Oreochromis niloticus: one gene and its partners. The protein of the gene in region 4 interacts with the protein of the main gene of each other region in a pairwise test. Links are inferred from orthologs where the notes say so. Each region holds a gene or a part of one and is shown on either strand. Other genes may lie near its edges.

What was found.
Region 1: the proteins of stat3 (region 4) and sri interact in binary tests that used the Homo sapiens proteins (3 or more experiments, as listed by UniProt). The link is inferred for Oreochromis niloticus from reciprocal best matches to the Homo sapiens genes STAT3 and SRI.
Region 2: the proteins of stat3 (region 4) and blk interact in binary tests that used the Homo sapiens proteins (3 or more experiments, as listed by UniProt). The link is inferred for Oreochromis niloticus from reciprocal best matches to the Homo sapiens genes STAT3 and BLK.
Region 3: the proteins of stat3 (region 4) and rpa2 interact in a two-hybrid assay, tested with the Homo sapiens proteins (2 studies listed by BioGRID and IntAct, with this or other methods). The link is inferred for Oreochromis niloticus from reciprocal best matches to the Homo sapiens genes STAT3 and RPA2.

What each region holds. Positions count from the first base shown.
Region 1 is NC_031976.2:29,809,385-29,816,436, forward strand, and holds the start of sri (sorcin), read left to right. Parts: upstream 1-4,030; 5' UTR 4,031-4,183; intron 4,184-4,343; 5' UTR 4,344-4,350; coding exon 4,351-4,398; intron 4,399-6,506; coding exon 6,507-6,551; intron 6,552-6,720; coding exon 6,721-6,790; intron 6,791-7,052. Other genes in the region: uncharacterized protein LOC100710708, read right to left, coding at 669-741, 937-1,009, 1,217-1,504, 2,423-2,588. UniProt on the Homo sapiens protein: Calcium-binding protein that modulates excitation-contraction coupling in the heart. Contributes to calcium homeostasis in the heart sarcoplasmic reticulum. Modulates the activity of RYR2 calcium channels.
Region 2 is NC_031980.2:8,612,230-8,619,179, reverse strand, and holds the start of blk (tyrosine-protein kinase Blk), read right to left. Parts: upstream 3,019-6,950; 5' UTR 2,956-3,018; intron 2,001-2,955; 5' UTR 1,914-2,000; intron 1,741-1,913; 5' UTR 1,740-1,740; coding exon 1,644-1,739; intron 1,520-1,643; coding exon 1,489-1,519; intron 1,123-1,488; coding exon 1,029-1,122; intron 932-1,028; coding exon 833-931; intron 705-832; coding exon 601-704; intron 487-600; coding exon 337-486; intron 1-336. UniProt on the Homo sapiens protein: Non-receptor tyrosine kinase involved in B-lymphocyte development, differentiation and signaling. B-cell receptor (BCR) signaling requires a tight regulation of several protein tyrosine kinases and phosphatases, and associated coreceptors.
Region 3 is NC_031976.2:26,300,374-26,307,391, forward strand, and holds the start of rpa2 (replication protein A 32 kDa subunit), read right to left. Parts: upstream 3,008-7,018; 5' UTR 2,861-3,007; coding exon 2,848-2,860; intron 2,649-2,847; coding exon 2,554-2,648; intron 2,328-2,553; coding exon 2,226-2,327; intron 1,876-2,225; coding exon 1,762-1,875; intron 749-1,761; coding exon 674-748; intron 1-673. Other genes in the region: smpdl3b (acid sphingomyelinase-like phosphodiesterase 3b), read left to right, coding at 4,161-4,248, 4,328-4,544, 4,721-4,818, 4,927-5,070, 5,197-5,366, 5,532-5,712, 5,859-5,992, 6,348-6,710. UniProt on the Homo sapiens protein: As part of the heterotrimeric replication protein A complex (RPA/RP-A), binds and stabilizes single-stranded DNA intermediates that form during DNA replication or upon DNA stress.
Region 4 is NC_031969.2:26,414,326-26,421,758, reverse strand, and holds the start of stat3 (signal transducer and activator of transcription 3), read right to left. Parts: upstream 3,020-7,433; 5' UTR 2,773-3,019; intron 323-2,772; 5' UTR 301-322; coding exon 173-300; intron 1-172. Other genes in the region: cavin1a (caveolae-associated protein 1), read right to left, coding at 5,414-6,178. UniProt on the Homo sapiens protein: Signal transducer and transcription activator that mediates cellular responses to interleukins, KITLG/SCF, LEP and other growth factors. Once activated, recruits coactivators, such as NCOA1 or MED1, to the promoter region of the target gene.

The DNA of each region.
Region 1 (7,052 bases), on a different chromosome or scaffold from region 4:
ATATTATATTATATTATTAAAATAACAGCAATTCAGAAATTAGTTGTAACTTTTTTTTGTATACATAAGTATCAAAGCCAAGGACTCATATAGAATACAAACATATCTGATAAATACATAACTCTAAACCACACAGTCATAATGCAGTGGATTTTAGAACTGTGCAGCATAGTTTGATTCTTCTTGTGCCCTTGGGTATACTCACTTCACACTGATGGAAAATTGTTCTCCAAGTGCTCATTTCTATGGTATGATATAATATTTCTGTCCCATTGGCGATCGTTTTAACGGGTTAGTGCTTTGTATGACTTTAATTGGGTGTGAGGTGTCACTCTGTCACTGTACCGTTTAATAAACATAAGAATTACTTCAGTCATATGACGTAAGTGGTGAAAAGTGATGAAATTTTAACCCAAATCAACACATATGGGACATCTTCTATTGCATTTGTTACTATCATCATATAACACCAAATGATGGCATTTCTTAGAAGAATGGCATTGACTCCCTAAGCTCTGGAGACATGTTAACACCAGGGAAGCTATTCAGCCCCGCGTCTTCATCATACATACAACTGCATTTTATTTAAATTTGTCGTCTGTCTGTGCATTAAATTTAGTTTACAGAGCGTACAGTGAAACTGAGAAACACTGAAAGGCACTCCGGCTTCATGTGGGGTACGGCTGGTTTTCTTGTGACGTATCTGGATCCAGCAGATCATCTGCATAAATATCTTCTGTTCTGTGGGAAGAGAAAGACAAGCAACCAACTTTTTTAACAACATGTAGTATGTTTGTACAAACTGCGCTGTATTTATGTGTTAGACAAAAATGTTATGAGGTGTACAAGTGTTAGTTGTGCAAAATAATATAGAAACAGTTACTTTATTTGCTGTAATGATGTTGGTACATGATATAATAATTCTTAAATACTTACATTACTTCCAGAGTGTCTTCAACTGCAACCTCCTCTACAACCTCCACTCCAACGATCACGTTCCTCCTCACAGCTTGAATCAAATACAAGAACATTTTTGATATGTATCAATTGGATGCCTGCATAAATATATGTGTGTGTTGGCTGAATGACAACAGCAATCTCAGCTTTAAACACCCCAATGGAACATCTTAGTTCAGTACATTGAATGCCACAATTGCTAAGGTAAAGGAAAGGATATCATTAAAGAAAAGACCCTAGAAACTAGGTGTAGTCTCACCTCCACAGTAGATAAATGGAGATCCTGATGAGCAGTGACCCAAAACATCTGGTTCCCTCTGTCTATAAACACATCTCTGGGTTTCCATCCCTGGACCTCCCCAGCACTGACAACCCATGAAATGCTGGAATACATCTCCTTGCTCAGCTTCAACCACTGTTATTTGCTGCAAAGGAGCACCCACGTCATGCTGACACAGGCCTGTGCTGCTGGGGATCCCTGAGTGGACCTGAGGCTCGTATATGGACCACTGAGCAACAGCAGACTGACTGATAACGTCATCACATCCTGAAGAAATATATGTGAGATACAAAGTTAACTTGACCAATAAGTGGCTGAGGTCGAGCTATACATTACACTAAACAACAACCAAAATATCCATGGCTGATTAATGCAGGGGGTGGCTTAGAGTTACACGTCATGGCTGAATCATATGTCTGAACCATCTGTTTCCTCCACCTGCTGATTAGACCTGCTGGGTTTGGACTAAAACCATCAGCAGTCATCAGTATACTGGCACACATTCCCACACACACATACACACACAACAAATATACAGAAATAGCAGGGAGTGTGGGGTTTCACAAACAAAAAAACAACATTAAATAGGATTAAATTTGTTAAGATTTGTAATTTATACCATTTACTCCAGTGGTGAAAGCAGTCACACTACCAACAGTAAGTCTTTGCAAACTCATTCTTCAGCAATAAGTGATTTGGGATCTACTTGGATTTAAATGTGACTTTTGTTACATAATGTGGCAGCTAAGGACAGAAAAAAAATTGAGCATGTGTACTTGTTTAGCTCTCCTCTTGGGAAATAAACCTACACAATGATGATTTGGATCCTTACTGATATTTCTATTATTTTATTATCAGTTCATATATCTAAACACAACAGGACATCCCTTTTATTAGTCTAGGCCAGACAGTATGTGTGATATCGTTCAGTTTTTTAAATGGCATTGTGATCAACTGAACACACATGCATTTTCTATTTTTTCTTTTTTTTCTTTTTAAAAAATATTATGTTTGTCATACATTCCATGTAGATTTGCTCTCAATGAGTAAGGTTCTGTATGATGTCATTTAATAATTAGATATGCTTTTTATGCACTTTTTAGTGCCTACTTTTTTGTTATGTTTCCCATTTTTAACCTGTCCTGCTGCATTTACAGCTGCAAAAACCTGACATCTCAGACCTACCTGTACTATAGCAACATACAGCTGGAAGTTCTCCTGTTTCTTTATCCTCCTCCTCTTCTTCTTGGTGGCTCACCATGACAGAAAGAAGGCTCCCTGAGTGCTGAGGATGAAGACACAGAGAAGGTCTGGGTGACCAAATCCAGCATTCATGACTAAGTCTGTGCATCCCAGCTCTAACTTCAGCACCGTCCACTGACGCGTGTGGTTAAAGCGGTGAAACAGATTGCCTTTCTGCCTCCTAAACAAACGATGGAGCCTCTGATTGGGTTTTCTCTGGACTGGAGGTGGAAGCAGAGGAAATGACTGTATGAGCCCCTTGAGAGAAGAAGCTGATTGGGCTGTTTGTTTCTGCCTCTGATGTAATGCCTTAGATTAAAGGATCAGTCCTGTATTTTAATCACTGTGTCTGCAATAGCCAAAGCATAAATAAATGAATAAATAAAATCAACTTCTTAGTTTTGTACCTAGCTTTCAGGAATAAAATTATTTCTTTTTGGCAGATCCAGTCATTTTTTAAATAGTAACATCTGAGAATTTATTTGTACTTAAGTGGTTATCGTTAAGGAAGGGCCAAGATAAGGAAAGATTATAAGGATTTATCACAGGAAAAACTATAAGTAAAAAGAAAAAAAAACATCATTCTGTATGTCTTAAGCAATTTAAAGTGGAATTTAAAATCTCCAGGGCATTATCATGGTAGCTTTATACTTTATAAACCATTAACAACTTTTTCTATCAATACATTTCTCCTGATTCATTTGTGGTCTTGAGGATACTTACTGATGCAAACACTTCGATCTCATGAACAAAGTACTGCAAAACAAACAGACAAAAACAAATCATGTCAGCTAAGCTAAAAGATAAATCCAGAAAACAAAGAAAGCAAGCACACTAGGAGGGCAGGGGGATAAACTAAACTTAATTTCTCTCACTCCTCATTCCTATTTTTTTTCCCCCCGTTTAATATCTCTTCCTGCTCCTCTGTCCTCCAGATGCATTTAAGGAATCAAGATTTTGGTAAACAGAGCTCAATGATTGATTCTGGGTCATGAGCATGAGACCAGAGGACAGAGGAGACAAAAAAGAGAAACGAGAAAACCCTTAGGGAGGGTGGGGAAATAACAAAACATGGTATTAATAACAACACAGAAAAATCCATGACGATTTAAGCTTTAAAATTTAACAATATGTGAACTGAATGAGGGGCCAGAATGAAACTAACACATACAAAGAGATGCAGACAGAGGCGACCACAGGAGTCAGTCGCAGAGAGGAAACCACTGGCAAAACAAGAAGTGTGAATAACAACAAAACCCCAGCAATCAACATTCAAAAACAGACAAAAGAAGAAAGAGAATAATAACAACATAACCAGAAATAATACAAAGATCACGACACTTTGCATCATAAAATGTGCAATATTATGTACGTAAAAGCTTTGTACAGCAGCTCATGGATAGTAAAATGTGACTAAAGGCTTTTACCGGAAAATTATGATTAGAAATAATTCGAGGATGGTGGTTAACCGCTTTAAAACTGAAGTATTGACTGATTATGATGTACATTTTTTAATCCATTAATTTACTGCAGAATGGTTTCACTTTTACAGCCAGCCCTCTTGCTCATATTGGTCAATTAGAGGTCACATGTCCTCTCCCTACCAATCAGAACTTAATGTGGTGGCTCGCACTGAGGAAAGTGGACATTTGCCCCTCCGAGGCTTCACAGTTTTATTCACCGAGGTCGTACTTTTTATATCAGGTAAGTTCACATTTAGATCTGTGCTTCATTGTACTTCACGGCACTTTATAACCTCACTTCTCGGTGTTTTCCTGCGAACATCACCAGACACGCCCTCAGTCGCTAGATTTGTTTTGCTCTGAGTCGTTACTATTCTTACGTTTATTTCGTTTTGCATCAGGAATAAGATGGCTTTTCCCGGATACGGCGCTGGCCCCGGTGGATTTCCAGGAATGGTAAGAAACCGCTAAATTGTGATGAAACGGTTTTACAGTCATAATCCGTCAACCGACCTTCGTCCCGGGATGGGCATCTTTTCCAACCAGTCCGGAAGTTGGACGGTTTGAGAGAAATTCCGTCTTTACATAAAGGTTTCCATTTGAAATAACATGCAAACATTTTGACAATATATTTGGTTTCAAAGTATCTTAAAGAATTTTTTCGGCTTTAAAATGAAACTCGAGCAGTATTTGTGTGTTTTAGATTCGTACTAACTAATGACTGCATAAAGGATGCATTCCGCAGTCAAGCAAAAGTGGTGTTTTTACTTAAAAGGTACTTAGAGTATAAGATGATGTAGGCATTTTTGTTGCAAATACACAGCCATCTATTCGCTTCCGCTTATCCTTATGAGGGTCGCGGGGGGCTGGAGCCTATCCCAGGTACCAAAGGCGAGAGGCGGGCTACTACCCGGACAGGTCGGCAGCCTGTCCGGGTAGTAGCCGGCAACCATTCGCACTCACATTCACACCTATTAGCAAATTTATATTAACCATTTGACGTAACCCCACTAACTGGATGTCTCTGGGTTGTGGGGAGGAAATCGGAAAAAAAACATGCAAACACGGAGAGAACATGCAAACCCCACACAGAAAGCCCCTCACCAGGTGGTGGAGTCAAACTCAGGATGTTCTTGTTGTGAGGCAACAGTGTTAATCACCCAAATACCCATGATTCTTATATTATCACATTTTACTTTAAGTAGCATCAAATAGGATTTAATAAGCTCATAGTGGATCATATTTTAACCTGATTATTGTTTCTAAAATCCTAACCATAGCACATCTGAAGCTGCCACACCTCATCAGAGCAGATAGCAGTTTGTTCACAGTGTAGTTGAAAGCAGTTAGAATTATACTAATAATTATACTAATTATATAACAAATTTGGACTTCAAACCCTTTGACAGTCTCTTGTAATGATTGCATCCAGATGTGTTGTGCAGCTTATATTTATCTATACATCTGTTATTTAGATTACAGTGTCTGTTAATGACAGAAATAATGGTGCTGGAGAAGGATGGCACATCTTCTTCAATGAGGCCTCAGAAAGCAGCCACGCAAATTAGAAAATACACTGAATCATTTCAAGCCTTTTAAGTGGCAAACAGGATTGTGAAATGATCAGCTAGATGGGTTTTGGTTTATAAACCCTGTGGTTACATTTTAGTTTCTCTCAGGAGATCTGATAGAAAGCTTTTCACCCAGTCATGATTGATTTTGCCTGCTGATTTAAAATGACTGAAACTGGAGGTTGGTAACCTACATAACCTAACTCCTGTTAGGTGTGTCACTTTTACAGCTGAAGTAATTAGATGATTGAACTGTTGGTTGACAGACACACATTCAAACAGCACTTTTATCTAACACAGTCACACTCCAATGCATTGAGGGCATTTCGGGGTATTACCCCAAGATTTTTCAACACATGGACTAGAGGAGCCAGGAACAATCCAACAACCTTCCGATCGCTAGACCATCCACTTCACCTGAGCCACACCTGCCTTTATGCTAAAATTCCTTTGCTAAAAACATTTTAGTCCATTGTTAGGCAACATGATGATGTCATACTAACTGATAAAGCCCTTTATATATAACCTTAATGCTAAAGGCTAAAAAGTGTCATATTTGGTTCCTTAACTAATAACTTAAAATAAATAAGTGTTTAGGAGGAGTTGGTGGGTAAAAAAGCCCATGAACAGACAGATAATGTCTATTATATGTGTATTATTATACACTAGTATAGTATACTATTATTAGTATATTATATTGATATCCTTCAGGATCCTGTTGTTTTCGTGAAATATCTAAATCATCTATTTTCATTTAAAGGTTTTCATTTAAAAGCATTTAGGAAATTACCTCCATAAAATAATATGTTTATTTATATTGAGACTTTTTTTAAATAGTAAAATTTGTATAAAGTATAGTTTGTTATTTACATAGCAGGACATAGAGTTCTATGGAACTCAATGACAAGTAGCCAAGTGTATCTACAAATACAGAATAATATGAAGAATCAGTTAAATCTCGCTGACTTTAATTTCTTTCTTTCTAACTTTCAGCAACAAGATCCTCTCTATGGTTATTTTTCAGCTGTTGCGGGTCAGGTAAGAGACTCGCACAAAAGTCAGTCTCAAATCACTTCACTAATTTTGGACGTGATGAACTGTTGATGTAGTGACCATTCATGCTTCTTTAAACCTTTGTAAAGTAGCTGTTAGTTACTTAACCATGTTGTGTATCCCACTTTGCCGTGTTTTTATAAAACCCCGACAGGATGGACAGATCTCAGCAGATGAGCTGCAGCGCTGCCTCACGCAATCTGGCATCTCTGGCTCATACCAACGTAAGAGCAAAAGACTGTTTAGAATTTAAAAAGCACCTCAAACACAATACAGATTTTGGTCATTTCATTTTATATCTAAATTATATCTGTGCCTCTTGCTAAATAGTACTGCGGTGTGACTTTTGGTCATAGTTATAAAAACCTTTGCTCTAAAAATCATTTAGCATTAAGGGGAACTCTCTTTTCGGCAAGCAGCAGTTTAAGTGCTAACCAGTGTCACTGGTATTGTGTTCAGTGCCTGGAGACCTTGAGAACTGTTTTG
Region 2 (6,950 bases), on a different chromosome or scaffold from region 4:
TGAGACAACCTTTCTCAAGATCTGGCCTGCTTATCTTGTGGTTTAGTCGCAGGAGTGGAAAGACTATCACTCCTCTCACTCAGGAAATGCACAACACATCACAAGGGTCGAACTTCCCCCTTTAATTCAAAGTCACTGCAGATGTTTTATAATTCAAAGCAGCAAGCTTAACCTGAGTCCAAATCAATGCAAGATGCAGGATTTACAATTATAAATGCTGAATTGGAAACACAGAAACAGAAAATCCTGTGCATAGATATGGTTTCTTAAATTATACATCTCTGAAAATACAAACTTTTTGAGGGTGGAGATGTTGTATTTGTAGTTGTTACTTACGGGTATAGTATTGAACCAATTCCTGTAGGGTCGAGAACGTGTTGGAAGGGGAGATGTAGTAGCCACCTTTGTCCAGACAACGGATTTTGTAATGTTTTACTACATCTCCTCTTTCCCCTTCATAATCTCTGACTGACAGCGAGAATGACCCTGAGAGGGGAAAAAGGGACATTTGGGTTTATTGACCACACTGAAAATGAATACAGGTAGCTGCTAAAAATGTGATTTGTGGCATGATCACGGAAAGATACTGATGGTGGTCACCTTTACAGGTCTCACTCTCTCGAATTAGAAAGGCCCCTGGTTTATTTCCGGGTGCTAAAAGTAGCCTCTCGGTTTCTCTTCTGCCCAAATCCTTGAAAAACCATCTGCAAGAGAGAGCACCACAAAACCATAGAAGTCACTCTTCCTGAATATAATAATACAAAGCATTACAACAACATTAATCAATCAATAGATGCGTGCTACATTTCATTCCATAATATTTCAAGCTTACTTTTCCACTTCCAGTGTATCTGCTCTGGCTACATAATTCGATGGTATCAAGCCTTCTTGTCCAGTCGTCAGCAGTCGGGCCAGCCACCATTCTCCGGTTCTGTACATCAGACAAACACGTCGCATTCATTTTATTTCTCTGTGCGCTTTCTTTATTGTCACTTTCACAACTGTGGGAACCATAGAATGAGACTTACTCTTGCAATACTTTAAGTTTGTCTCCCTTTCTGAAAGGCAGATCACTGTCGTTGGTCGCTTTGAAGTCGTGTTGTGCAATAAATATAGTGTCATCTAAAGGGAAGAAGAGCACAGAGTTTCTTTAAAAGTGTATTTTTAATCTGCTTTTTACTCTTAGACGTTTTATTTTGACATGATCCTGTGTTCTAACATGCGCAATTTGTGGTGATATTGTTTTCCTTCTCCGAGCAACCGCTGTGTTATTTTACATCTGTGACATTAACATTACTTTCATGTATTTGCAATCTCATCTAATCCCCAGAAGAGAACAGAGGAAATTCAACCGAGATTTCGATCGCAAAACTGTAGCTCTTATTACTGCCACTAATGTCTCTTAACGCAGCAGCAGTTGGGTCCATGAATGCAGGCCTGTTACTTTCTACTATGATGTTTGATTTATGCAAGGAGGTTTGTGATTACCATTATTTGTATAGGCGTTTCCACTTCGTCCCTTGAAAGAATGGAGAGAAAAAAAGAAGACGTTGATTATGTCCAGTTTGTCAAGTAAACCTTTTGAGGTAATTAGAGTAAAATTTGTTTCACATCTGAGTAAATCTTTTTAGTGTTTTACTTACTATATGGTTTGATGACGGGGAGGCGTGTGATTTGTGTTTTCCTTTGTAGAATCCTTCTTCTTTTACTTGTTTCTCGCCACTGCAAGTGCAGCCCATCCTGCATGTTTCGTGGAAATCTCTTTTAGCTATGTTACATGATGCTAACATTTACTAAAATAACATATCTAATTACAGAATGCACTGTTTAGTGTGGTATCAGTAAACAATGATTCAACAAGTTTATGGAAAGACACTCACATAGCTACAATGTGCTCAATACTTTGCTTTTACCTGATCAAACAGATGAGCTTTCCTGCTGCTGTTTTTAGTCTCCACTCCTCCCACTGCAGGGCCTGCTCTTTGACTTCATGCCCGGTGCTGGAAAACGACATCTAATGACTCAAAATTGCTAAAAATGTATTTAGTGAGCATCTCTTTAGATGTATTGCTTGGTAACAGGTGACCCAAAAAAATAATAAAATTGAAACAAGAAAACAAAAAACAAAAACTGGCTCTCAAAAGAGGAAGTGAAAATGTGTTTACAGCTCTTTACCATTGCATTAGCATGTACAGTTTATGATGGGGCTTCATTGTCAAGTTTCAGTTAAAAATAGAGGAAAAGAAAACGGCTAAAAATAGCTAAAAACACACTGGTGTAGAAATGATACCAAACCAAGCGATGGTGTTAAAAAAGAACTGCTGTTTGTCTGAAGCAAGTTTTATGAGGTGTTAATGTTAAAACTTAAAAGTGTTTTTTAGATCACAAAGTCAAATATAGTTGATGTAATGTGTATTACAAAAGCTAAAGATAATGACTGCACATGCAAATATACAACACTGATAAAATAATGATGTAGCAGAGTAGTGTAGAGTGTTGTGTATGCTTTAGACTGTATGTGTAAGTACCGTATTATCAATATCGATGGTTTAATTACGTCTTAAAATGGAAAATTACCCCTAAAACAGCAAGAGCAGTGCTTTAATATTCAGTGGTGTGTAATAACAATATGTCATGAAATGCATGCCTGTAGGGAGGCTTTACACAAACCGCTGACTTATGGATTTCACGCGGAAAAAAGTGATAATTGAAATGAAAATTCATAATAATAATTAGCCTTGATACTTTTGCCAATTATTTATCGCACATATTTGATCATCCACGTTACGCGTTATGTTTTGTTTAATTTTTGATGTGTTTTACCAACATTGTACACCATTATTTAAATAAAATATTACTTACACTATTATGTTCACCATTACCTTACAATATCTAGAAATTCTCAATGCCTGTCACTGCTCTATAATGTAATATATTCATTCAGCAGATAAATACCTTTAGCTTGTCTTTGGCTCGTGTCTTCAGAAGTACTCCAGATGCAAAATGTCTTCAATTTCCTCATTGAAAACTGAGTGCTTGTCAGTGTGTCACTCTCACTCACTCATTTTGGTTTGGAAAGTTTCTCTCTCTCTTTTGCTCTGCTCTAATTTCTCTCTCTCTCTCTTGCTCTCGCTCTCTCTCTCTCTAACAGTGAAGACCAGGACCTCCCCTTTGGGGTTACATTCAGTTTACTGGAAACAGACAGCAGTTTGCTCTTTTGTCTGGTCTCTTACATTTCTCCCTTGATTCTCAGGCAGATGATCTACCTACAGAGTGCAAAAATAATCTTCTGATTAAATTTCACTTGCAGTAGTTACCCCGCCCCAGTCCTGCAATTAGTCAGTGAACACAACTGATAACTGTATGTCATCTTTAAGTATTAAAACTCACAAATGTATGGTCCTCAAAGTTATTGGTCAAGAAGGACTTTAGGTTAGCTATCAGTAGAGCTTGTTTTACTTCAGAATGTGTAGATGCGGTCAATGATTTGCAAAAATTGTGCCTGTGATCTTTTTTTAAAAAATGCAAATGACCTTTGGTATCAAATCGACAATGCAATGGAAAAAAAGAAGTGTCTGCACTGTGTTGTATTGTGTGTCTGGGTGATTGGTGTTAAATGTAGGTGTGGTGGAGTGTTGTCTGCTCAAGTGTATAAGATGCAAGATAAAGAAACAGGGCATGGTTTCCATGACACACATTTCAGTTCCTCTGCTGGCCTCTGCTACTCATATCTTTACCTTTCAGTGTCAAGAAACATGTTTACAGTAATACTGTAAAACAATACACAATTCCAGCCACAAGAGGGAGTGTTCAGCTACTAGTGGGATGTGCAACCACCCTGGTAATATACCCCTTTATAAATTTTATGCAAGTTTTAATGTCAATAACTGATTACTATTGTGTTAATTAATATTTTTATTGCAGTAACAATAGCAACAAATGAGGGCCTTGCAGCTCTTCTTTTGCCTATATTGCCTGATGACCACAGAAAACAGTAAAGTGTGAAGGTGTATATCCCAAAACATGCACTCAGTTTAAGTCTGTTTCCATGTAATAACAGAGCAAGATTTCACAATTCCCATTTACTGATACTTTTTCATTATTAAGGCTGTATGCAATAAGTTCTATTACACAGGAAACCCAAAAGTAGTTAAATATAGTCATATGAAAATGTTTTTATAGCACTCTGTGCAGTACTGTAAAAAACAAACAACACTCATACTGCTTCCATAGCAATAACGAAGGTAAAGGTAACCAAAGAGCTACATCTGAGACTCTAAAAGCCTCATTCAGTGCAGTATGTTTAGAAAACGACTGAATAAGTATGGCTGGTTTGAAAAGGTCACCAAGGGGAAACCCTCTTCTCTCTAAAATGAGCATTTTAGGCTTGAAAAGATGAATCTGAATAAACCTAGACTTCTTAAATACTGTCTTTTCAACCAACAAGACCAGAATGAACATGTTTGGCCATGATGCTTTCGCCAAACAAACCAAAACCAAGCACAGCATGTCATCACAAACGCCTCATACCAGTGTCTCGTATGGCGGTTGACGGGTTGATAATTTGGGCTTGTTTTGCAGCCACAGGGTACCTTGCAGGTATCGACTCCACCATGAACTCGGCGTTAAACCAAAGTTTTTTAGAGTCAAATGTGAGGTCATCCGTCCAACAGCTAAAGTTTGGCTGAAACTGGATCGTGTACAATAATCGGTGGACAATGCACAGCAGCAAACCTACAAGAGTATGTCTGAAAAAATCAAGATGTTTCAGTGACCCAGTCAAAGTCCAGATCTCAAATGCTGTTACAGGACCTTAAGAGAGCTGTGCATAAACAAATGCCTTAAAAAAATAGTGTTATAGAGTAGAGTGGACAGTGACAGACTGATGCAGTCATACAGAAAGTGGTTACTTCAGGTCACTGCTATAAGCTACTGAATCATTGGGCGTTTTTAGTTTTTCACACAAATATTGCAACGTATGAAATGAGTGTTGTGACAATGTTGTTTTTCACATGACTGTGCGTTGCTTATAATGACTTCTCAATGCAATACCACCAAATACTTAATAAAGATACACTTTAGGTTAGTGAGTCAAGCAAAAAGTTAAGACATCTTTCTGCTTGTATATAAAATGGTTACAGGGCAAGAAATGTGGCCATAATTTGATCTCATGTTAGTTAGCTTACTTTTAATGGTACTGATACTATTGTTGTTTATAGCACTATTCAAAATGAGAAATTGCTTCCCGATGTTCCCCAGTGTTGACACTAGAGGGTGTAACCAGACTTATTCTAATCCCAGACTGTCCTTACAGTAGGTCAGTTCAAAGTTGTGTAACCATTTCTGACTAATTCTTGGCATTTCTATGTATATATGACCCTTACAATGACATCACATATAGAAGCATAGTGTTGAACCGTTGTGGATTCCTCTGTGTTGTATGTGGTGCAGGTGGAGGTGTGCAGATGTGAAATCGAATGCAAATCGTGACTTATCTGGGGCAAAAATTTAGCAAGATGGTGTGCGGTCAGTACAACAATGCTTTGGTTTTTCACACCATACAAAACAGTTAACCAGGTCTTTCCTTTTCTCACCACACAATGCACTGCCAAGGGAATTCACCCCTCTTCTTCAGAGTGAGACAATAAACACAAAACAATATGTCCTTGAGTTATCTAGCAGTAATTATGACCCTTTCATGTCTCACGTGCATGCTAAATTGCTATTAAATATTGAGAATAAATCAAAGAACCGTATAAGGAAGATATCAGTCACAGTATACTGTAACCTATAAGTGCACCAAACAATAAATCTTACAACACCGGAAGTGTTTGTTTCCTATGGGGGGGTTTATACAACACACAACGTGGGGATATTACTCTCTGGGCAACACTTCACAGGTTTTTGTTTGGACCACCTGTGCTGTGTGTGGGGATTGTGCTATGCTGTAGTTCACTGAAGGAACAACCTTGCTTCACTGTACACACATGTACACACATTTACGCAAACACACACACACAGGCTGCAGGTGCATGGTGAGTGTTATTGAGTGCGTCCTGGTTACTAACTGCCGTTTCTCTTTATACTCCTTTCTTCTAGTTTTCCATCAGCCCTTGTTTTCTTCCCAGGGCTTGGCGGATGCTCGTGTACAGCTCTGTTGGGGTCCCCAGACATTGCATCCTGCCTGCAGAAGGGTCATAAGTGGCCCCACAGGATAACCTGAACAACAGTGGGAAAGAAAGGGAGCGTGGGTCTCCTTTAGTAAATGCACTTCTGACCACCTCTGTGCCAAAAGTATACATGCTGCCAATAGATACTTTCAACTCCCATTATTAATGTGAGTGTGCGCTGCGTGTGACTGCAAATGTGCGTGTTTTATAATTGTGTGTTCGTGGGGGTGGGGGTGGGGGTGTTTTCAGAAAAGCTATACAATGATTTCTGTGCGGCAAGCTAGTGCTGTTTCAAATCTTACCATAGGTTTTATTTATTTAGATACACAGACAGACACACATCCACTCACACGCATACTTTTTGTCCCTTTTTGATTGTGGTCCCCACAAGATGAGTAATACCTAGACCACGCACATTCACACGCACGCACTTTCCTCAATTTTGATCCCCCTCCGCATCAGAAGTGGCCCCTCTTTGACTTCCTCTCAGTGTGGGAACCTTTTTTATCCTCTGTCACACATCGACTGAGAGAAGGTCTTGCTGCTACATTTGCCATAAAAAGACAAAGTGATTGTCAATAAACAAGGAACAATTGAGCTCCCCCGATGTATTGAACAGGCCCCTTTGCTGTACCTCCAGGATGTTCATGAGTTTTAGTTGAGCTTCAGTTTTCCTTGTACTATTTTCCCATATTATGCTCTTTGTACTGCAGACATAACACACCACTGGTTCAGCTATATTGTAGCTTAATTTGTGGAATTCACTGTAATAGCACTTTT
Region 3 (7,018 bases), on a different chromosome or scaffold from region 4:
ACACACACACAAAAAAAGGTTAATAAATGTTTAAATGTGAACAAAATTAAATATGAGATTGTCAAAAATGTTTGTATGATTGAGAAATCACACAGCCGCTTAAAAATTTTACACTGTCATGTAGCCTTTCGATGAAATCATGATGCAAGTCATAAGTTCCTATTTGATTCTGGGTACTGTGGAAATGTCATTAGCATTTACTTTAAATTAACCATTTCCAATTGATTCACAGTCTGTTTGTGGTTGAGGGGGGGGAGGAATCAGTCTGACTGCGGGAAGCAGCTGATTGACTTTGAAAAACGCCACAACATCAACCCAACCACCAAGTAAGCTGGTAGAGCAGGGCCTCAAGTGCCGGTGTCCTGCAGGTTTTAGATATGACCCTTGGTCAACACACCTGAATCAAAGGATTTATTTCATTACCAGGCCTCTGGAGAACTTCAAGACATGCTGAGGAGGCAATTTAACCATTTAAATCAGCTGTGTAGGATCAAGGACACATCTAAAACCTGCAGGATATGTCCTCTCTGGAGGACACATCCTGAGGCCTGGAGTTGGACACCCCTGTAGTAGACGGTGGATGGAGTGGACGGTGGACGGAATGGGCTGGGGCCTGATAGCAACCACACTTTTAAACTAATAAGCGGTCATAGGTGGCAAATATTAAACTCACCTGAAAAGAGCGCAGATTTCCAGACACTTTGACATAAGTTCCTGGGGGAAGGACAGTGCTGTCCACACTTTGGTCCTGTATAAATAAAAAGCACATACTTGATCCTTTTCATACAATTCCAGCTAATTTTCCTTAAGATTTTAGAACAGGAGATTGGCATTGAGGTACTACTGCCCTTTCCTTTTAGCCATCTACTCAGAGAAATGCAATACTAAACAGATATTATAGTTTAGTAGTTTTCTCACTATGTAATAGAGTTTTTATACATTTTATACATATTGTCTGTTGTCGCTGTGCCATTGGGAGCATCCTCACTGGATGCATCACCACCTGGTATGGCAACAGCACCGCTTACAACCGCAAAGCTCTCCAGAGAGTAGTGCGGTGTTCTGAACGGATAATTGGAGGTGAGCTTCCCTCCCTCCAGGACATCTACAGGAAGCGGTGCCTGAGGAAAGCGGGGAGGATCATCAAGGACTCCAGTCACCCCAGCCATAAACTGTTCAGACTACTTCCATCAGGAAGGAGGTTCTGCAGTATCTGGTCCCGTACCAGCAGACTGAGAGACAGCTTTTTCCATCAGGCCATCAGACTGCTGAACACTTCATAGACACCTCACCTTCACTTACCAGAGCTTCAACATTATGCACTCCATACTGTATATAAATGCCACTTGTTTTGCACATTTCCAACTGCCAACCTCTGTATATTTTATTTTATTGTTTATTCTATTTAATTTTTAAAAATATGTATATATATAAATACACACACACACACACACACACACACCTAGATATACATATTTAGTATACACATTCAGCAATGCGCATACACTCTTATATTGTACATATATTTATTCATTTAATTCTCAGATTTACCCATTCTTATATTTTGCTTGTTCTTATGTTATTGTATTTTTGCACACCTCTGTTGCTTGTGAAGCTTGCACACAAGAATTTCACTTGCATGTACTGTACCAGTGTACCTGCACATGTGATGTGACAATAAAAGTGATTTGATTTGATTTAATTACCTCATGTTTCAATACAGACTGAGCTTGCAGCAGAGTTGTGATGGTGGATACTTACCTCTGTGTCTACCCACTGCTTCACATCCATGGGAGCACCTGTCATGTCATCAACCTTGTACTGGATGTTGGTCATGGATTTATCTGTGCTTCTGATGACCCCCACAATGGTGACCTATGACACAGACCACAATTATTATCAAATCTGGAAATATTAGAATAGTTATTACGTCCATGCTGCAAAATGTTGTAACATAAAATGATTTAAAATTCTGCATTTGGTCTGACTGTTAGATAGATGTTTATTTTAAACATTTAAAAGGACAAAAAAGTACAATCGACATATATGCACATTTACATAATTTCTGTAAACAAAAGTAACTTGTACTCAAAAGGGAGTGGAAAGTTGCTGTTGTTCAACTGCAGAAGTAAAAAAAAAAAAACTGTATTACAGAGTAACAAACTAATGATTTTAAGTGCTGAAAAAGTAACTGGTTAGAGAACTAACTGAATGGTTTGGCTCACCTGGGCAACATCCACATCTCCTACTCTGAATGACTCATCGGCTTGGGAAGCAGACATTAGCTGAGACACTGTGCAGGGGATTATTTGGTTGGCACGTGTTCTCTGCAAAGATATACACCCAAACACAAATGGGTTAACTGTCGTGCAGCAGAGACCTGTCAATTTGTGCTTCTATCACAGAAGTCAACATGTGTACAAAGAGGGGATATGTCATTTGGCAAATGAAGGTATGTTGTTGCTGGTTTTCAGCACTATATTTACAGATTTATGTCTGTGTCAAGTCTTTAGTGAATTATACCGACTTTTAAGTTTAGATATAAGTACAGACCCCCTTTTTCTCTCCCCCCTGGGATAAGGCAGGTGATGCAAATCCTCCTGGAGACTGAGTGTAGCCCCCAGCCATACTGGATTCACTGTACCCTCCTGAAAATGTATAAAGAGGTAAACAACTGTGTCAGTGAAATCGTTTATTCGATATGATCTTCATTTGACCCACCTACACTCACATTCAACACACAATAACAAAGACGTCTGTAGTCAAGCTAACGTGGACCGAAACAACACAGCGTCACCGAGCCCATATGGCTATTTATAAACACAACGGTATCGAAATACAACTCACCCTGATTCCACATGCTTCCGCTGTTTGTATAACTTATTAAAGTAAGGCGTAAAATGTTATTTACACCGTGCAGTAATATCTGTAGCCAAACGTATTTCTGTGATCCTCTTCCTCGTTTAATCCCGCGCGCAAGCTTCAATGTACAGCGCAGGCGCACAGCGGAACTCCCGCGAAATCTATGATGACGCAGAGCTTAAAGATGAAGTAATTCAGCCCTAAGTTTTGCTTGTCAGGCTATCGTTCCCCTTCTAGCGCCAAGACTGACCAATGCAAAAGCACAAACTCTGGACCCAAACCACTGTTTAACATGTGCTAACATTAGTATTATTATTATTATTACTATTATTATCATTATTTGCTATATTACTTAATGAAGCAGTCCGTAGCCTGGGAGTTACGTCTGCCTGAAAGAGAAACATCAGGGAATGATTTTGAAAGAGTCCTAGGTTTGCTTTCATGAACTTCCCGAAGAACTACGTGCTCACGCGCGGTTTTGAGGCTTTGCAAAAATCATTTCCAAAGAACATTTGCAAACGCATAGCTGTGTTTATCAAAAACAGACAGACATTGCAAAAGTTCCAACGATGATTAACTACGCTTTTCCCCCAAATGCCCCTTTACTGTAAAAAGAAATAAGCGAAACAAATAATAATAATCACAAAAGCAAAACAAAGCAAACAATTTTTTATTTGCATCATCAGCTTGAGAAACAGATTCTCCACAGTTATAACAGTGTCGATTTTGGGGAATACGAGTATCACGCGAGGGCACCATGCATAAAATCCTTTTTGTATTTAGTGAAATATTACACTGTAACCGCGAAAACATTCGCACGTAGATGTGTTTTAATATAATGTGTCTATATATACTCCTATTTGTGCTATGAATGTATGTATATTTATTGGATTCTTAAACAGCGCATGCCCAAATAAGGTAAAAGAAGGTCTACTAAATTTAAATTTAGTCCACATAAAAATAGTCTAGGCGTAGTCTACAAGCAGGAATTCGACTCCTAAATAGCTTCACAGATGTGTGTATAGAGGTTTTCTCAGCTGAAGCTTTTTATTGTCTTTAAATTTATTCTGAAACTTATTTTTATTTATTTTATTTTATTTTATTGTATGCAGGCTAAAACGTAGTCTTGCATCACAGGGTGACGGTTGAACTTCATTACTGATAGCGAAGTATCACCTGCACATAGGGATCCAAACACCTTCAAGCCTCAGACGCGTCATGACCAGCCGTATCTTATCGTGATTTCGCCTTTATAGACTTACGGCATACCTTTTAAATCAGGTCTTGATTTTTGTCGGATGTTTCTTCCTCTCAAAGGCTTCGACATGTCGGCAGTAAGGCTGCTTCTGTCTTGCTTTCTTTTTAAAGAGGCTTTTGCGCTCTCAGGTAAGCACCAGATAAATCAAGTATATATCTTAATCTCGGGGTAACTTACTAGGTGCTATTACGCATCGTTCTTACACAGGGAACTTTTGGCACATCACGGATCTCCACTGGGACCCAACGTACGAACTGAGCAACAACAATCCTGCACTGGTGTGCGCATCCAGTGGCAAACGACCTGCAGCCAATGCTGGTAAATTTGGACACTATGTTTGTGACTCGCCATGGCACCTGATCAACTCTTCTGTTTATGCAATGAAGAATATTCTACCAAACCCGGACTTCATCGTATGGACTGGGTATGTTACTTTTTTTTTAAATGAATTTTGCAGGACAGTGCTAGTCTCAAGACTATATCTGGGGAAAGAAATGCTTGTCTGCCTTTACAGTCATGATATTTTCAGATTGGTATTTGGTATCGACATAATGTTTGACTGCAATTAATCCTGAAACAATCTGCTGTGTTACTTCTCAGTGATGACACTCCACATGTTGATGATAAAGATCTGGGAGAAGAGGCAGTGCTCAGCATTATCGGCAACCTCACTGACATCATAAATCAAGTTTTTCCAAGTAAGTACAAAATCGGGTGGAAACATGCAAGGTCAACGCATACGACAGTGTATAAGTGTTGGCTACTTCTAATAAATAATGTCTTTTATACATTATTGTCTTGTTTAGACACTAAAGTGTACTCAGCCCTGGGGAACCATGATTACCACCCAAAGAGTCAGCTTCCTGCAGCCCCAAACTCCATGTATGACCGAATAGCAGAAATGTGGCAGGGCTGGTTGGATCCAAAGTCAAAAGAAACATTTAAAAAAGGTGAAGATGGCTTTCTCTAATAGTTACAAATATATGTGTAATGACTTTCCAAAGAATGAATACATCAGTTTATGATGCACAGGAAAATTTTGAACAGACATTTTCTGCAATGTTCCTCTTGCACAGGTGGATACTACACAGAAAAGCTCATGAATCAGACTGGTTTCAGGATGCTGGTCCTTAACACCAATCTCTACTATGATCAGAACAAGCTGACCAAGAACATGGATGACCCAGCGGACCAGTTTAGTTGGTCAGATCAGATTCTTACAGAGGCGGCCAACAACAAAGAGAAGGCAAAGCATCTCATCTTGTTCATGGATGTTTGGATGTTAGGGACTAGAGCTCAATAAAAGATGTAGTTTGTAATGAATACAATCCTGTATAAGCAATTGCCCCTCCAAAAAAGAGACTTGGTCCTGATTGGATTTTAGTTAACTCTGTATTGTTTGGTTTATCAGGTTTACATCATTGGCCACGTTCCTCCAGGTTTCTTCGAGAAGAAAAGAAGTAAGCCATGGTTTACACCAAAGTTCAACCGGCGATATTTGGATTTAATTGAGAAGCATCATTCTGTAATAAAAGGGCAGTTCTTTGGCCATCATCACACTGATAGCTTCCGTATGTTCTACAACACAGAGGGTAAGCCACACTGCAGTAATAGTACTCATTTCACCTTGTATTTGTATTACCTGTTTATCACTTAGCTGGAATGCGTCTCCAATATCCAGCGTTAACATTAACACACACTAATACTGATAGAGCTGATATCTTGTCCGTTTCTACAGGTTCTCCCATTAGTACCATGTTCCTCAGCCCTGGTGTCACACCGTGGGAAACAACACTTCCTGGAGTTAAGGATGGAGCGAACAATCCTGGGATTCGTGTCTTTGAATATGACACAGAAACACTGGTAGTCAAGGCAAGTTTTGGCCTTTACAATTTTCATTAGACATTTATGTTCCTCTAGTGGTGTAGTGGTTAACACAAGGGAACGGTTGCTAGTTCATTATCACCCAGATACAAAAATCCCCTTTTACTCTAGCTCCAGAAAGACCATCCGGTGTAAAACTCAAATCATCAACTGCTAAATCAAACGTGAAACGCTCCTCGTGGCAACGGGGCAGTCAAAAGTAGCAATAGTATTATTAGGCTCTTACGCAACTTATATAAATATATATTTGTATTTTAAAAAATTATAAAACCTTCAGAAATATCTTGTAATGCTTCTAATGTTCTGCTTTCTGTGTTTAAACCATATGCTTTCTCTCACGCAGGATGTGGTGACCTATTACCTGAACCTTACTCATGCTAATGTAGCCACAGGACGCTGGGAGAAAGAGTATCGCCTCACAGAGAGTTTCAGAGTACCAGATGCCTCTCCAGCCTCCATGCACGAGGTTCTGAAGCGTGTAGCTGATGACCCCCGCTACCTGCAGAAGTACTATGATTTCAACTCTGTGAACTATGACCTGAGGGATTGTGACAGCGACTGCCGCGTTGACCACGTGTGCGCAGCACGAGAGGTAGACTTTGACAGGTATGAACACTGCCTCGTTAAAGAGGGGGCAGTTTTCATCTATGGTGGCCTGTTGCCACTCATCTCCGTGGCTTTAAGTCTGGTGGTGGCCAGTGAGTAATTAATTCAATACTACTTTGAACTATAACTAACTCTGAACTTAGTATAGGTTCATTGTTTCCCTACACCAACATATAAGCTTTCTCCCTCAGAATTTAAAATTATGCAATAATCTTTTGTTTCAAAAGTATAAAAGTCATGTTCACACATGTATCACTGACCCACTGAGCAATGCAAACTCCCCCTCTGACTTTCCGACTGGCTTCATCAGCAGCTGTATGACGTTCCACCTTAAAAACTGCACACTTTTAGCAGAGGAATCTGAGAATAGCTTTCTGGTCTCAACATTTGTAATGAATTTCATTGTTT
Region 4 (7,433 bases):
TTATAAGGAAAGAAGAGGGTGATAATGAATAAATTAAAAAAAAAAAATGTTAAAGCCAAAAAACATTTTGGAAGTCATAATGAGTGGCCATCTCCAAATCCAAAGGGAGAGAAAATTACATGAATTAAAATGTAATTTCACAACAGAGCCTAGAAATGTAATTATTTCTTACCAGTCTTGACTCTCAATCCAAGGCGCAAGAAACTGTCGTAACTCCATGGGGAAGCTGTCACTGTACAAGTGGTAGAGTTGCTCCAGGTACCTGGTCTCCAGCTGCTGTAACTGGTTCCACTGGGCCATCTTGACACTCACCTCCTTTGGCCTACATAAAAAATATGAGTGAGACAACATAAATTCTGCAAAAATTCTATAAAAATACAAACTGATAATACATACTGCCACAGTTCCTGATAGAATCAGTAAAACTAACTGTAGGGAAATAGCTAAATATCAAGTTTTCTCTGAAAACGATGACAAGCCCATGAGAGGCTTCCTATTCAGTACAGTCACTTCCTGTTCACTGAAACACTACGCCTCCACCAAGAAATTTAGGCCAACATGAACAGCTGTCGACTCCCTGAGCAGACAGGAGTTAATGATCTTTGGTGGTAACTTTGCCTCGAAGGTATCTCACTGCACTTTCTGTACTTTGCAATTTGAGTAATAGTCTTTCATTTATTTTCAATCACTTGATATCAGATATAACTCTTATCTAGGTTATGTAACTATAACTTTTCCATCAGATCCACTTGAGATGTTCTGCTAGCCTTCTCATGTTTTCACCTAAAGGGTACACCATTCCCTGAAGAATTTTCTACTGTACACTAACAATAACCAGACATTCAATAAATCCAAAAGGAAGCCATTTCCTTTGTTTAATCCTTACATAACATGTTGGATAGTGTTGCAGTAACATCCTTCCACTGAATGTGTATACTGTGTTCTCTAATACACTTAAAGTTCAACTTAAAATATAGGCAGAGACGTTTAACAAAGCTTTCATGCTTGGTATCTGCTGACACAGAAATGTACTTGACAAAAAACAAAACTTCACTTTCTGTTTCCAAATGTAAAGATTTTCTTCTGCTGACAGAAAGCATACCACTGAAATAGTGCTGTTCATATCTGAATAGGTTAAAACACGGGACCTGAATTTCCATCTGTCTAGGTATTAGCATTATTCAAATCAACGCTATGTAGGCTCCATATTCATACACATGGAGGTGAGTGCAAAGTAACATAATGCCTTCTCAAAAGCATCATTTTAAAACACCAACAGAAAGTGGATTTTCCAACATTCACTGAAATCAGTGTTCAAGGCAAGCCACTAGTTTCGGTAAAAAACCCCAAAAAACAAAACCACTAATACCCTCACTAATATTGCGTGGCTATTTTAAGCAGTGAAGCCACATAACTAACTGTCCCATATCCCATAGACCCATGTTCCTCTTTCTACAACATATGAAAAAGATGCATTCATGCATGGTGTAGATTTCTGGGCATGTAAAAGACCTGGGAGAATCAAATCAAAGAATAGCCAAGTCATTATCAGCTCAATTAAAAAACAAAACAGTATTTCAAGTGTTCTCCATGACCCTTAGGCACAGTTGTACGTTTATTGTGTAAGCTACTTATCCCGTTTCTCCTGAAATGGCTGGACTATTCTGACACTTACTAAGCCCTTCTGTGAGATCTCTGCAGAATTATACGTGTACTGTTACAGAAATAGTTGTGTTGTATTTTTAATCAAGAGTAACTTTAGAACAGCAGCTTGTTTATGTCAGATGAAAGGAATCCATAAAGTCTAAACAACCCATCTGTTGGTTGCATAACTTAGAAATTTTGCTTAGGTCTCACACATTTTGTGTTCCTTTTCTTTTCACACCTCTATCAATGTCTGAGCTTTAAAAACTAAATCTAAAGCTCTCAAATTAAAATCCACAACTCAGAATTAGTTATCATAAATAAACCTGTCTACCCAGCTTGTCCACTGCCCTATGCTCGGAAGTAGGTGGCACAAACGGTAAAGCAAAGTGCCATTCATTAAAACTCATACCTATGATATTCAAGGAAGCACTTCCTTGAGACAACAACGAGAAACAGTAAGCATGTCAACCTTCACTGGCAGTGGATGAAAACAATAGTACAACTACATGTGTTATTAGGCAAAAATAAATAAATAAAATACTGATTGATTATGATGTGCGTCCATATTCAAAACTCTCCAAAAGTTAATAATCTGCTAACTCACTGTCCCCAATTAAAGCCTAATTTATTGAATGCAAGCCTTGAATCATAAGGCTAGGTAGTGGGTGTGCTGTCCAACTGATGGCATGGTGATGGGCGTGACAGCTTAAAGAAAACAGAAAGGACTGAACTGAATTTTCCTCGGTCCAAAGGGGCATCCCGTTAAAGCCCACCTTCCCTTTTTAAAGCATATCAGATGTACTGCCATTATTAAACGAGGCGTTAGAGAGTAGACGAGTAAAATAGAGCACACAAACACAAAAACTCTTAAATATTACGTCTGTAATATACATTTTACAAGAAACGAGCAGAACTGTAACACACTTAAAAACGTTATTACCACTTTAATAAATGATGTATCACTGTGAGCAGAGGGGGTTTCTCCAACGTGAATAACTAAGAACCTATAAAGTACTGCAAGTGTACCCCAGCAGCGTTATCGATATTAGAAGTAGACGTGCATTAACATTACGTTAAAAATAAAGAATTTACACCAAAAGCAGAAGTCGATTTATATTTGCTTACCTGGCTCGATGCCACTTATTTAGAAAGTTTCTCCGCCAAAACAGTAACCCTTCTCATAAAACACACTGACGATAACGGTCAGTGGCAACTTTCGTAAAGATTTTACCCACAAAAACGACGGAAAGCGCTCGAAAAAACCCCGTAAGTCTTTATATTCTCTTCCCAACACGAGAAACGCTTCTTCGTCGCAAGTACGGATCTATCAGTCAACCCATCCCCTACATTGCAGACTTTCCAGCCAGCCAAACTCCTTAAACTATTTTACTGACATTTCCAGCCGCCAATAGTGGTCTGCAACTCTGCTGTCGCCAATCACAATGCAGCTTATAAGCAAAGAAGGCGGGACACTAGCTTGAGGTTGGTTGAGGAGGTCCGCTGTACCGCTGTCGCAACTGCGCTGTTCTGCTCTGAACACCCTCCCCCCGGGTAAGCCACAGAGTAGACGTTTAAGCTGGGTAGCACCGGAGGGGGGACAAACATTTTCACGGAACAGCCAGCCTAGAAGTCATCTGAATTACCGGCAGTGCCGACGTCATCGAGAGTTTAATAACACTAGAGCGCTTCATTATTTACCTTTAGTCATAATTCGACCCTCTGGTCACGGTAGGTGAAGGAACACAAATAAACTTATGAACTGACAAACAAGACAACATTATCAGCCAGGTTCGTAAGAATGATGCCAGGCACTACATATTATTTAGTAAGGCGTTTATTTATATTGAATTTGTTAGGCATAAAAAGCCTTAAACACAACATAATCAGTCAAGCGTCATTATTTGAATATAAATCAGTAACACCAAGAGTAATATTATGTCACATAAGGTTGCAGGAGTGTTGAAGCTCATTTTCTGAATAACCAGCAGCTTAAAACAAGACAAAATAAACAGGGTGACAAAAACACACATTTCTTCTAAAGGAACCAGCGAGTATTATGGATAAAGTAAAGGTTGTCTTTGCCAAAAAAAATTACAAAAAATAACATAAAATAAACAAAAGGCTAATGCTATGAAACTAACATGCCCATGTGATTTTACAGGCCCACAGCTGATTTCTTTATTGTTTTGTGTGATTTCAGCTTCATGCTTGGGTACGTGACATGCGCATACTGTCACCATTTATTAGTCTCTCCCTCCCTCACATAGACACGCAGACACATATCCCCTTTGTCTTTCTCAATGTTCTCTGGTTTGTGCAGTTCTCTGACCGAGCACTCTCCTTAATTGTATTTCCCCGCCCATTGATTACTTTAATGGTGGTCGATGCTACACAGTAGGCCTCTGTGTGTGTGTCTGCACCACATCAAGGTCATTCAAGTCTCCAGGGAGGCAAAATGGAAGACATACATTCACCTTGTTTTTGTCTGGAGAGCGATATGCTCGGCCTTACAAAATCAGAAGACTGACTGCGCATTGCCATACCAGTTTACATTCATTACTGCTTGGCTGTTTTCTCCATCATATGCCAACCAAATTGTATAATTTACGACCAGATTTTCATAGTTTTTTGCTTTGGATGTTCCTGTAATAGTTCAGCTTCTCCATATTACATACAGCAGTCATTAAACTGTCATCTCACATCTCTTTAGACCATCTTTTTTTCTGTCTGTAATTACTTTGAGAAATTTTAATGGGCATGAAAATGTACTGTGATGAGCTGTGACCATGGCGATACTATCTTTTTTTCCTCCCCTTTGTGCAGCAGTGCAATATGTGCAGCTTAGTGAGAACGTGTTCAGACACGCCAAACGTTGTATCCTCATTAAACACTGTTTATACTATAGCAAAAGTTACATTCCGAATCTTATTAACGTTTTCATTCAGTTTTTCCTTTTTTAATTTGAATGAAAGCTGAAAATTGAGCTGAAAATTTTACTGCCCCACATACACAACAGTATATTTTGCTTTTTAGTGTGGTGTTATGCATTTAAACATTGTGATAGTTGAATTTGTCACAGGTTCATGGTTCCTAGTATATATTAATAGAAATTGCACATCTATTTCCAGCCATTCACACTTAAGTGCTTAACAATGAGAAACACTGTATTGTAACATTTGGGAAAATGTTTGTAATCTTACGAAATATGGAGCACAGTTTAGTTAAACGCCTTAGTGTAAGTCCAGTGCAACAGATCTTTTCTTCACTTGTTAATTCTTCTGTAGAAGAATCCGTCTACAACTTTTACATTTATTTTTCTTTACACATTCACATCACTTCACCCGTCCATTACAACAAAAACCTTGCCAAAAACTTCATTTTCCCATATTTGTTAAGGCGAATGCCACACTAAATATTGTCTCTTAATCACAATATTTTTTTTTGTTTTTCTTTTAGCCACACAATTAATCAAACCAACAACAAACAACAAATACTCTAATTTCTAAGTGTAGCATATCCAGTCAGCCTGTAACATAATTCCGGGTTTGTCTTTTTTTCCATTATTTGAGTGCTAAATATGAACAAATATGAAAGTTATCCCTGTTGGGAAGAATACAAAGAGAACAGAAAACAAATAAGATGTCATAGATTGTAATCATCTATAAAGTCCCTACTGTGTCTTTGTGATTATATTCATTCGTCAATATTCTGTTTCCTTCTTCATCTTTATATAATTGCTTTCACAGCCCTGTGGAGCTATGAGACTCTATTCACTTTGGGCTTTCTTTAGGTGGTCTGTATCCACCCTGACCAGGTCAGAGTCTTCAGTCACCTCCAACAGAGTATCCATTTCAGGGCTGTCTACACTGACAAGCTCCCCTTCCTCCACCTCCACGTGCACACCCATCCCGTTCTCCTCTCCCTCTGGCTGAACCTCGGCCTCGCTCACTTCCACCATCTCCGTGTTCAGCACCACCTCCTCCTCCCCTTCCCGGATCTTCTTAACATGGAAGGTAAAAGGGGGAACGCGGTACACGGAGGTCTTGGAACGAGCATACATCTTGTGGTCAGGGGTGAGTGACTTCTTCATCTTCTCTTTGGAACTCTTTATCTTTGCCCTGCGCTCCTGGTTGGGGGTCATGCGGGTCCCGAGCTTGCCGATCTTCTTCTCAAGACTGTGCTTGGTTTTCTCCAGGTTGTCACGGGTTCTCTGTCTTGTCTTCTCCAAGTTTTCACGGGTTCTCTGCTTGGTCTTCTCCAAGTTTTCCTTGGTTTTTAGTTTGGTCTTCTCAATTTTCTCTTTGGAGAAGGCTTTCTTTATGTTATCGACTTGCTCTTTTGTGGTGCGTTGGAGGCGCCTTGTACGAGTCTCTATGAGCTCCTCTTCAATCACCACCTCTTCATCTGAATTAAGATTGTCTCGGAGTCCCTCCTGTCCCTCTTCAGGGATTTGCTCAAGACCCTCCGCTGTTTTACTTTCTACTGCCTCTGCTGTCTTGGATTTGGATGCCTTTGGTGGCTTCACTTGGTCCTAAGGGACAAAATAGGAAGGATAAGAAAGAGAGAAGAGCATTAAGCCACCATAGCAGAGTGAGCGAGACTGAGTTAAACAAGCTTTTCAACCACTTTTACAAAAATTTCAGTGGACATGATGTTTCAATAATTGCATTATATGATTAATGTAAAAATAGCATGTGTTTCAATATGTTTTCAAATGTACCACCTATACAAAATTAAGCTAATGGGCTTAAGGTGTGCATTGGAATTGCAAATATCAGCCTGAAACTCTGCAGAGTCATGCATCATCAAGTAGTCAGTGTAAACATGTCACTGTTTGCAGCTGGTGTGGAGTGCCATCTAGTGGTGTCACTTATATGCTGATTATTGTGCAAACAAAATGGTTTTAAATTTTCAGTTATGAAAAATAAAAGAATGTAGCCTGGCATATTTACAGTAATTATTATATGGTATGTCTTTAAACTCTAGTAAAACTATGGGACTTGAAAGGAACCGTATATTATCTGCAACTTTAGTCATAATGAAACTGAAGCTCACAATTTGTTCATCTAACCACAGGTTTATTTCCTGCCACTTACATATCATTTCTATATAAAAGTCTGAACCCACTTTTGAAGAATTAATCTTCAGTTAAATCTCTCAGTAGACAATTTCAACTTGTGTTTGGTCGGGAAAAGTGTTGATAATAAAATGCAGAATAGAGACTGGTGGTTAAATTTCACTGGAAATACTTAGTGGTTAGAATAGTTTCGGTTTAGCACATAATGCAAAGTGCAGCAGTTTCAGAGATGGACAGAAATTGCTGTATAGGTAAGGCCAGAAGGAGGACCATTGTATTTGTTCTATGCAAAGCTACACAGGAAGGTATCACCCTGTCAAACCACTTGGATGTGCATCTATTTGAATACCCTCCTACAAGTTACAAAAAAACAAAAACAAAACCTTAAATCAAAGCATTATGAGAAGGTTTTCTGTTTTTTTTTAAAATTTTTAATTTTACACCTGTCAACAAAGTAGACCACATTTCCATGTTGTTTGGCAGGACACTGTCAGTGTCATTCCAGATATCCACAAAGGGAGGAGCAGTACTATGATAGAAATGTGATTCCCCCAACTGTCAGTTACTGATAGAGGGATCAGTCGTCCCACCCTGCTGAACCACACCTCAGTGCACCATCACTATAGTCACTGACTTTGTAGATACACATTAAAAAAATCAGTTATTCATGAGACAAACATAGATATTTAGGAATATTTAGGATGTTCAC